2 linked regions of the Drosophila melanogaster genome follow. The protein of the gene in region 1 interacts with the protein of each later gene in a pairwise test. Each region holds a gene or a part of one and is shown on either strand. Other genes may lie near its edges. The genes, in order: TwdlC and bru3.

Region 1 (4,260 bases):
CTCATCACTAAAGATCAGATTTTCACCAAGTTTTTCTTTTTGTACTTATACATTTGATGGGCTTAAGCTTGTAACTCGGCCAAAATGGCAGCCACAGCTAAGAAAAACACCTTTTTAGAGAGCTAAAGACCTCAGCAAACCAACGCAATCACTTTTGATTTGATTCCAGAAATTAAATTTTTTGTCAAAATTTTCCATTTTTTATAAGGGGTAACATCGTAATTTTTCGCAAAAATTGACAAAAAATTTTTTTTTCATTCTTGAATGCCAAACGATTAAGCATGTTTTTACGAGTCCAGCAAGGTATGACAATCTATATTTTGACCTCGTTTACGGATAATTTTGCACATTTTTACTGATATTTTTGAACAATTTTATCAATTTCTATGCCATGTTTCAATGTACTATTTACTTATGTATATGTTTAAATTAAGTTGCATCCCTGATTTTATTTTTTGAGTCCGGACCCTTCTTCCCGTTGACAGCGCTTGACTCGTTAGGCTTCTTCTTCGGTGGCCAAGTGCACCAATTTCCAATCGATCGAACGGTGACGTAAAGCTCCAAAACCCTGTTGCCATTACGTACGCCCCCCAACTTCTTGTGCCGCCTTATAGCCATGTCGATGTAGTTATAGCCATAAGCTACATGTGTCCGCACAGCCACTCGACATTTCTCCACCTCGCTGCGTCGAGATGCGTCGGCTGCAATTACAATTAATGATTTCTGTGTGTGGACAGCAAGTGGACAAGCGTCTCGATTCAGCTGGTTACTGGTTGGTTACTGGGTATTGGATAGTGGGTACTGGCGGTCTATTTACTTTCGAACCAATGGCTGTGTGCAGCAAATCCAATTAAATGCCGCTCGCTATTCACTTTATTTGGGTAGCTGCTGTTTTGTTTTATTACTTATTGTTTTCGTTTTCGACGCTTAATGTTTGGCTTCAATTTGAAAATTGATTTTGATTTTGATTTTGTTACGATTGTTTCGTAATTGTTATCGTAGGTGTTGAAAGTGTCCGCCGTCAACGGTTGACAGTTCGGGGGAAATTTGGAACTGGCCTTGAAAAGCCCTTCGTTATTGTGTTATTTTTGGTCTGATGACTGCGTGTATTTATAGGTTTATAAACGAATTTGTTAGGGTTTAAGAATGGGTTAAAATGCATTGTATTGTATGCAATGACTGGGATCTTTTAAAGTAACTATTGTTAGTTCCATATGCAATGAGACAACATTGAAGCTTAATGATACTTAAGAATGAGTAGAAATAATTATAAAGAAAAATACTAAAGCTGAAAGCATAATAAACCTGCAACTTTGTTTTACAAATTTACTAAGTTACACATTTAATGTATACTTGGCTTAATGTCCTAGCACAACACGTTGTTTTCGTATTTCCCGTTCACTATTTAGATTCCTTGCTAATCATGCGAAAAAATGGATTATCCCTTGACTGGATTGCCGGGGAATCACATGACCCGGCTGTCGAGGAAGTACAAACTGGACAAACAAGTTCCTCGAGGCGTCACATGAATGAAGTTCATCAATGGGACTCGGTCGAGTGTGTAATCGTGGGTCACTTTCGATTTCGAGCCAGCAATTTAAGTGCGCTCCAATTGTGAAAATAACACTTGGCGCACTTGGCCGAAGGTTGCGGCTGCTGCATCTTTCAGATGCGAGATATGAGATACGAGCTACGAGCTACGAGCTACAAGATACCAGATACGAGATACTCAGCGGAGAGTGTTACACATAACGATTTGGGCAAACATTTTTTCGCGTTGGCCCAGGGCATTGATTGTGGACTATGGGGTTGCCCCCTCCTGGGAGATTCGTTTTGCAGACGGGTTTGCTCCAATTTCTCGCTTGTGAACCCAAAAGACACGTGTCGCAGACTTCTCTCTGCATCCGTATCCGTATCTTTGCTCTGCGCCGCCTTCTACTCGCTTTTGGCCAAGTTCATCCGAAGCTCTTCGCGTCTCTTTTGATGCTTAATTAAATTCATTTTTTCGTTTATTTCGTTTACCTTTTGTAATGAGACTTTGAGCACTCGGAGCTGCGGACATCGAATCATATAAATTCGGACCGCGGCGGCCAAGTCAGCATCAGTCGAGCATCGAGCTTCTCCATCGAAGCATTTCATCGAGCCAAAGGATTACGGGCTTACTAAGCAGCAAAGGATTTCCGATTACCAGAAGCAAAATGCGTGTCTCCTCGCTGTTCGTTGTGTGCGTGGCCTCCCTGGTGGCCACCACTTTGGGTCGTCCTGAGCCCCCATCCCCGTACTCCTACCACGGATTGCCTCAGCAGCAGAGCCAGCGGGCTTTGCCACTCAATGGTAAGTGGGCGGAGGATGAAATAGAAACATTATAGGAAATTAAAGCGAAAAAGATTAAAGCTATTTATGTGACACAGATTTTTGCTAAAGTCTTATGAGCATGACAACTATTAAAGATTAGATTAAACATTGATTATAGTAATATAATTCAGCAAATGTAGATATATTAACTCCATATATTTATCTTAATCTTATTAATCTTTCTTTTTGGACAGCTCACCCCGTTCCCCCGCAGATTTACCAGCCTCTGCCCCAGGAGCAGTCGTTTGCCAACTTTGCACCGCCCCAGCAGACCTACTTGCCACCCCAAATGCATCTGGATGCCATCGAGCAAGTGGCTCCCACTGCCGCCGCCGCTGAGCCCCTGAATGCCTACGATGACAGCTACAACATGGCCCACCGCCTGTCCGGAGTGCAGCATGCCAGTGGCTACAACAATGGCCCCCAGGAGACCAAGGTGCACAAGCACATCTACGTCCATGTGCCGCCAAAGGACTTCGAGGAGGAGGATGCCATCCAGACCCGAGTTCACCACCAGCAGGGACCCAAGCAGAAGCACTACAAGATCGTGTTCATCAAGGCACCATCTGCTCCGGCTATCCGTCAGCCAGTTGTGCCACCACCACCCCAGAATGAGGAGAAGACTCTGATCTATGTGCTGCACAAGAAGCCCGAGCAGGAGCAAGATATCGTGATCCCGACGCCACCACCCACCAAGCCATCGAAGCCAGAGGTTTACTTCATCAAGTACAAGACCAAGAAGGACGAGGCCCCCGTCTATGGACCCCCACCTGCAGAGATGGAGCCCCGTCAGGCCACCGCCGAGGATTTCGCTCCATTGGCTGAGGTCGCCGATGTCCTGCCACCCACCACCCTGGCTCCTGCTCCCGAGCCGGAAGTAGAGCAGCCAGCCATTCCCTCCGCGGTCTACGGACCACCCACTGCAGCTGCCTATACTGGTGAGGAGGTTCAGACCACCTTGTCCGCTCCTGCCAACCAGTATCTGCCCCCTGCCACCGCTCCCGCCGCCCTGGCCATTGAGGAGCCCTCAATGGCGCCCATCGTGGTGGAGGAACAGCCCGAGCAGCGACTGGCTCCTTCCCATGTGCCTGCCACCAGCTACGGTCCTCCCAACCGCTACTTCCTTAAGAAGCTGAAGTGAAGCCCGCTGCTTTGAGATGGTGATGCCTTAGCCAATTTCACAGTTTGTCATAGTCTAATGTCCATTGGATGCACCTCTTCCCAATCCCCTGTTCCCAATTCACACATGCACACGTGCCAAACCTCCCCACATGCACATCTCGTTGTTTGTTCGTTTGTATAACTTGTTACATTTGTTTTAATAAAGAGTAGATAATAAATATCAAATTTATAAAAAAAAAACTAAATGGCCTTTTAGTGTGGAATATTCCTCAAAAGTTTTATACACTTTCTTTAAGCTTAGTAAATGGTCCAGTTAATTCGGATAAAACACAGTGGAACAACAATGGATTTCGCATTTCAATGATTTAATGATGGCTCATGCCGCCTAATATGATAATTGACCCTGTGTGAAGTCGTGACCTTGGCAAATTTACAGCCTGCTTAATTGCGTTACGTTTTGTTGATTTCGGCTGTAGGCCCAATTTCGACGGCTTTCCTCATTGCTGTGCTCATAGAAAAATCGTAAAGTAATGGCCAAAATGGCAAAGCACTTAGAGGGAAGAGGCCGGAGCAACATGTTGCTGAGACTTCCCGCCAAAAGCAACAGTTGCTGCCTGCGCAGAGCTATGTTGCAACATGTGGATGGAAAAGCCGGGAAAAGGAGTACGAGGAACTGCCTTTCGGGTTCGTGCCCGAGTTTCGTGGCCGTTTGATCAGTCAGTCCGGATGAAAAATCCGGCTGCACACTCAGTTCGCTTTCTGTGCTCGCGCGAGTCGCATCGT
Region 2 (5,054 bases), on another chromosome or scaffold:
AGCAAACATACAAACTTAATGTTTATTGGGTTCTTGGCGTTGGGTTCACAAGAGCAGAAAAAATATTTAATTGATAAATTCAGCAACGATAGCTTTACTGGCTGATTTAAGTGGATACAATTAAAACTAGTTTCTCTTTCTCTATTTGCGCAGTTCTTTCGATTTATTTGTTATAATTAAATTAATATGATTTATTTTAACCGATTTATTTGCACACAAAAAATAGTGTAAAAATTTTTTAAATATTGAAAAAAAAAAAACGTATAAACGCTAGTATTTCGCAGCTTTTTAAATTTGCCTTTAAATTGAGCTTCTGATTAATAGCGCCTGTTTTTTATGCCGGCAAAGTCCTTCCTTTTTTGTGTTAAAGATATCCTCTTCCATTCTCATCTGGTGTTTTCGATGTTTCTCCCTTAGGCTTTTTGGCTCATCTTAACTCACAGCGTTCCTTTTTAGTTTCACTGTCTCCATTCGTTTTGCCTTCCATAAATAAAATAAATGTAGGTGAAAATATACATAAATAATGGGCACAAGCGCGGCTTTTTTTATGAAGTGTTTGAATGTGCGAGTGTCAACCCAGGGCACTTGAAAGATGGTGGGGAGGGGGGCTTGTGATGGGGGCGACGTCTGTGAAAATTATAAAACAGACGACGCAGCCATTCTGGCGGGGCAAAGATATTATGGCCTCTGAAGGCTGAGAAGGGGACCCCTGCCATGTAGGCGTGTGTAAATAGCAAAAACCTAGTCGGGCGTACACAAGCCAAGTCATCATGGAAAATGGCTAAACAGGCAAAAGAATAAGGGCCAAAGAAGATAGAAAGATAACAGAGTGGAAGGCATGACAAATACGTTTTCTCTGCCTTTTTTTTATGGCATATACATATATGCCCCGAGGTAGTGGGACGTATAAAGTTTGACCTCCAATCAATAAATCACATTAAAAGGGGATCTTTCAAGAAATGAAGAGAATGACAATGGACAAAGATGGCCAATAACTGACCCATAATTGTTCATTGTCACGTCATTGTCCGCGTCAGTTGCTCAAGGCACATGAGAATAGTATCCAGCAAGAAATGTATTTATTCTTGGCCTCTTTTTCGTTCTTTTCCGCTAATTATTGTGTAATATTAATCTTATTAATAAATAACAAGGAATCATAGTATCCATATACTAAGAAACATCTCTCTAATAGCTAAGAAGTATCCTTTTCTTGTCACCTAGATCTCGCTTTTCTCCGCAAGCTAGATATACAGCCCAAGTATCCTTAATAAACACCGCACCGATAAATGACTGTTACTCATAGTATTCACCTAGAAAGGATGATGTACTTTTCCCCGAAATGAACACTTCGCCATTAAATGGGTGAGGAGTATCCTTTTTGTATCACTTGGCTCTGGATTTTCGCCGCTTTTCTCTCTTCATTTTCTTCTGGGCCAGTCAGGTCTCATCATCCGCTTGCGCTTTTTTCTCAGCTTTTGGCTTGATTTCCTTTTTTGTCGCTACAGCCAGAGTCCTTTTGCTCCGCGCTTGCCTTTTACTAGCCCAGACTGCGCCCACAAAGACGTGTACATATATGTGTTTTTCCAGCTGCCAAAAGGCTGCGCTTGGCTTCTTCGCAGCCAGTGTTTTGTTTTTGGCTTCGTCAGCCAACTTTAGCTATTGACAGACCTTGCCACCTCGCGTCCATGTCCTTGCTGGAAAACATTTCGCTTTCAGCGCTCATTTTGCAGGATGTCGGGAAAGTGATGTAAAAAATATACACAACAATTTCAAGATATCTTCTGTGGCCTATACTGCGTGCCCAAAAGCCATAATTATCACGCGTTCACATGGCGTATACGAGATTTTGCTGTTTCGCGTTTAAACTCTTAACCGAAATTTATGCTTTCGCTGTTGCTAATTGTACATTTTGTTGCTCTTGCTGTTTATAATGTAAAATTTATTGTGTTTGTGCATGTTTATTATCGCCACGCCGTTACGCGCCCTCATATGGATTTGTAACACGCCCCCCTACACCCCCTCTTTAAACATCACTGTGCATTTATGTTTTACAGCGTCTGCAAAAAATATTATCAAAAGTAATAAATGAATAACAAAATACAAAACAAACGCCATCAATAATTCATGGGAAAAAAAACAACACAAACAGAAATAACCAAAAATAAAAGCTTGCGGCGCGTCGTTCTTTAAATATTTTATAAATTAATTCTGCAAACAGCGTAAGCGAAATTAAAAAATACAACAAAAACATCAGGAATTAATGTAGTGCCTAATGCAATGTGTAATAAAACCGTGTAGACCAGGAGGTGCGCCAGATCATTAAATACCAGCAAACACTGTTAGGTGAAAAAAAAAAAAAAATTATGAAATACAAATTTATATTTATTATTGAATAAATATGCAGAGTAAATATTACATATGCTAACCGTGAAAACAAATTGAATTATACAGCAAATAAAACAACAAATACTTTTCGTCGTGTTTTCGAATGTTTGGCTATTAAAGCGCTTACAGCTTAATTGGGCGTTACAAAGTGGTAAGTAAAAAAATAAACACTTTTGATAAACAATTATTTTTGAAAATATAAATTATTAAAATGATTTTAGTCAAAAGTTTCATAGAATAAGAAGATGCTTTACATATTCATAGTGTTATATTTTGATATATGTCCGTTTCTCTTTTTATTTTTTTAGCCCACATTAATCAAACGACTATCTCAGTAAATTTGCACAGTATTATTATAGTTTAATTCATCGCACAAAAGACTCCTTAATCTTTCATGCAGCGATCTTTTAATATCCTCTAACTATTATCAAAACATATCAAAAATTGTAATTAAGATACCATTGCATTTCCCTTGGTAAATATATCACAGTTTTTTCTAATTTAAACACACGTACACAACGTCGTTCATGGCTTTATCAGCCAACTTTGCTGATTCAAAGATATCTGTCGACCCTCATCCATCAACAAAAACCCAACCACAAATGTCACATGCAAATTCGGTTCGCCTTGTAACGGAAGTGCAAGCAAAAAATAGCGAAAGATTTTTATACATAACTTTTTATGCTACTCATTGTTGGGAGCAGAAACTTCAACCTCCTTCCAACGGTTTGAGGTGGTGCTTGCTGCACTTTTGCGGCGAGGTGAGCTGTACGGGTGTGTGCACGTTTTTGCATTTGCACCACTTTATTTCAATTTTATTCGCCATTTTCTTCGTTTGCGTGGTACATTTCCTGGGGACGAGACGCAGCAGTGACTTTTGCTCGGCAGCTGACTCGACTCCACTTTCCGTTTACCCTGGGCTGCCCTCCTCATTACCCTCTTTACATTTCTAATTACACGCTCATTTTAAACTTGAAACATTTGCAAACGGATGCCTGGGTCTGGAGGAGTCTGCGATTTTCAGTAACAATTTTCCATTTCCCATGCCATGAGGCTGCAAAAATGTTGGGTCACAAACGTAATAGACCAGATTTTCCTGTGACTGCTAAAGAAACCTAGCTGGCCGACCACAAATGTCTGGCATCTAGGGCTTGATTTGGAGACAAGTCTTGCATTTGACAATTTTCTTTCATTTTGGGGCCTGAAAACATTTTCCTACAATGTTCTCAATATATTCCACTATTTTCGAGTTCATTTTAAGACCAATTGATATTACTAGTAGTATTTAATCTTAAATGTTCGCTTAGGGAATAGTAATTTTTAATTGCCGTTTTTATACTTAGAACACAAAAAGTAGACACTGTAATTTGCGAACCCTGGACATACCAAACGCGTTTTCGTTTTGTTAAGTTACTAAAAAATTAAAACAATGCTGCATGTCCATTTTGCATGTGAGGAAACATTTGGCGCGCAAGTAAATGTGCATGTGGGTGAGATGGTTTTTGCCGTTTCTAGACTGCTCTTTGTTTGAGTTGTGTTTTAATTTCCATATTACGTGCTGGCCAGAGATTTATCAATGCGATTTATATAAGCCATAATTTCTCCATTTCACCCAGAAGTAAGTTAGTAAATTACTGCAATCGCTTGCAACATCAATGGGTAAAATTTAACAGCAATAACCTTACATAAGATTTCACTATTTTCCTTTTTTTATAATAGTTTGAAAAATTTATATTATTAATTGTTTAATTAGAAATAGAATAAGTATGGATTAGAAAGTAATAATGAAGTGAAAGGAAGCGGCGTTGACTTACGTTGCCATTTGACCTTTTCAGGCCCCTTGAAGGGCAATTCTAACACACTGTCTCTCTCACAGGAAATGTTTATAACATGTCCTCCTTTGACAACTTATTCAATGAAAAGTTTCAAATAGTAGCTTATGAATAGTAAAAGAAAGATTATGAAATCTATTGGTAAGCGTTTAAAATGTAATTGAAATATTGCTCATACGCAGCATGTGCCCATTTATTGAAACTGGAAAGAATGCCAAGTTGGTTCATACCCAGTTGGCCCAATCAGGCCAATTCAATGACATAAATCTTAAGGCAATAAAGCAAAGAATGTCGCAGCATGAGACTATTATATTGTGCATACTGAGCTGGTAAAGCAAATCTCGTAAATGTACTAATATAAAATTGGTATTAATGGGCTGTCGCCTTAGGTGAAATTACCTTTAAGAATAATTGTATAAACAAGCAAGGGGATAGGAAGTTTAATAAGAAAGTATAAACTTTATAATTGAGAAAACTATTTAAGCCTATTTAAGCTTTTTTTATCTAACCTTTATCTCAACTTTTTCCGTTCTATGGTTCTACTTTTGCGTCTTTAAATTTAGCAATTGCCGCACTTGTAGGAAAGTTTCAATTATAAGTCAGTGTGCCAAAAATTGTTTCACAAACTCTAATTAATTTATAGTGCTTCACAACTCGTAGCTTAAATGGTGCAGTTGATAAATTGGCGAGATAAAATTATAATAATGCTGATGTGGAAATAAAATATGCAAAATACTTATTGTACAACTCGTTCCTATTTAATGATATCTTTTCTCAGTTACTATTAAATATGTTAATCTGCGCAAAGCGGCACTAAAAAAAATACACCAACACGCA

Evidence for each region.
Region 2: the proteins of TwdlC (region 1) and bru3 interact in a two-hybrid assay, tested with the Drosophila melanogaster proteins (one large-scale study listed by BioGRID).

Annotation. Positions count from the first base shown.
Region 1 is NT_033777.3:26,992,736-26,996,995, forward strand, and holds TwdlC (TweedleC), read left to right. Parts: upstream 1-2,096; 5' UTR 2,097-2,198; coding exon 2,199-2,334; intron 2,335-2,549; coding exon 2,550-3,496; 3' UTR 3,497-3,707; downstream 3,708-4,260.
Region 2 is NT_037436.4:13,795,506-13,800,559, reverse strand, and holds the start of bru3 (bruno 3), read left to right. Parts: upstream 1-2,032; 5' UTR 2,033-2,536; intron 2,537-5,054.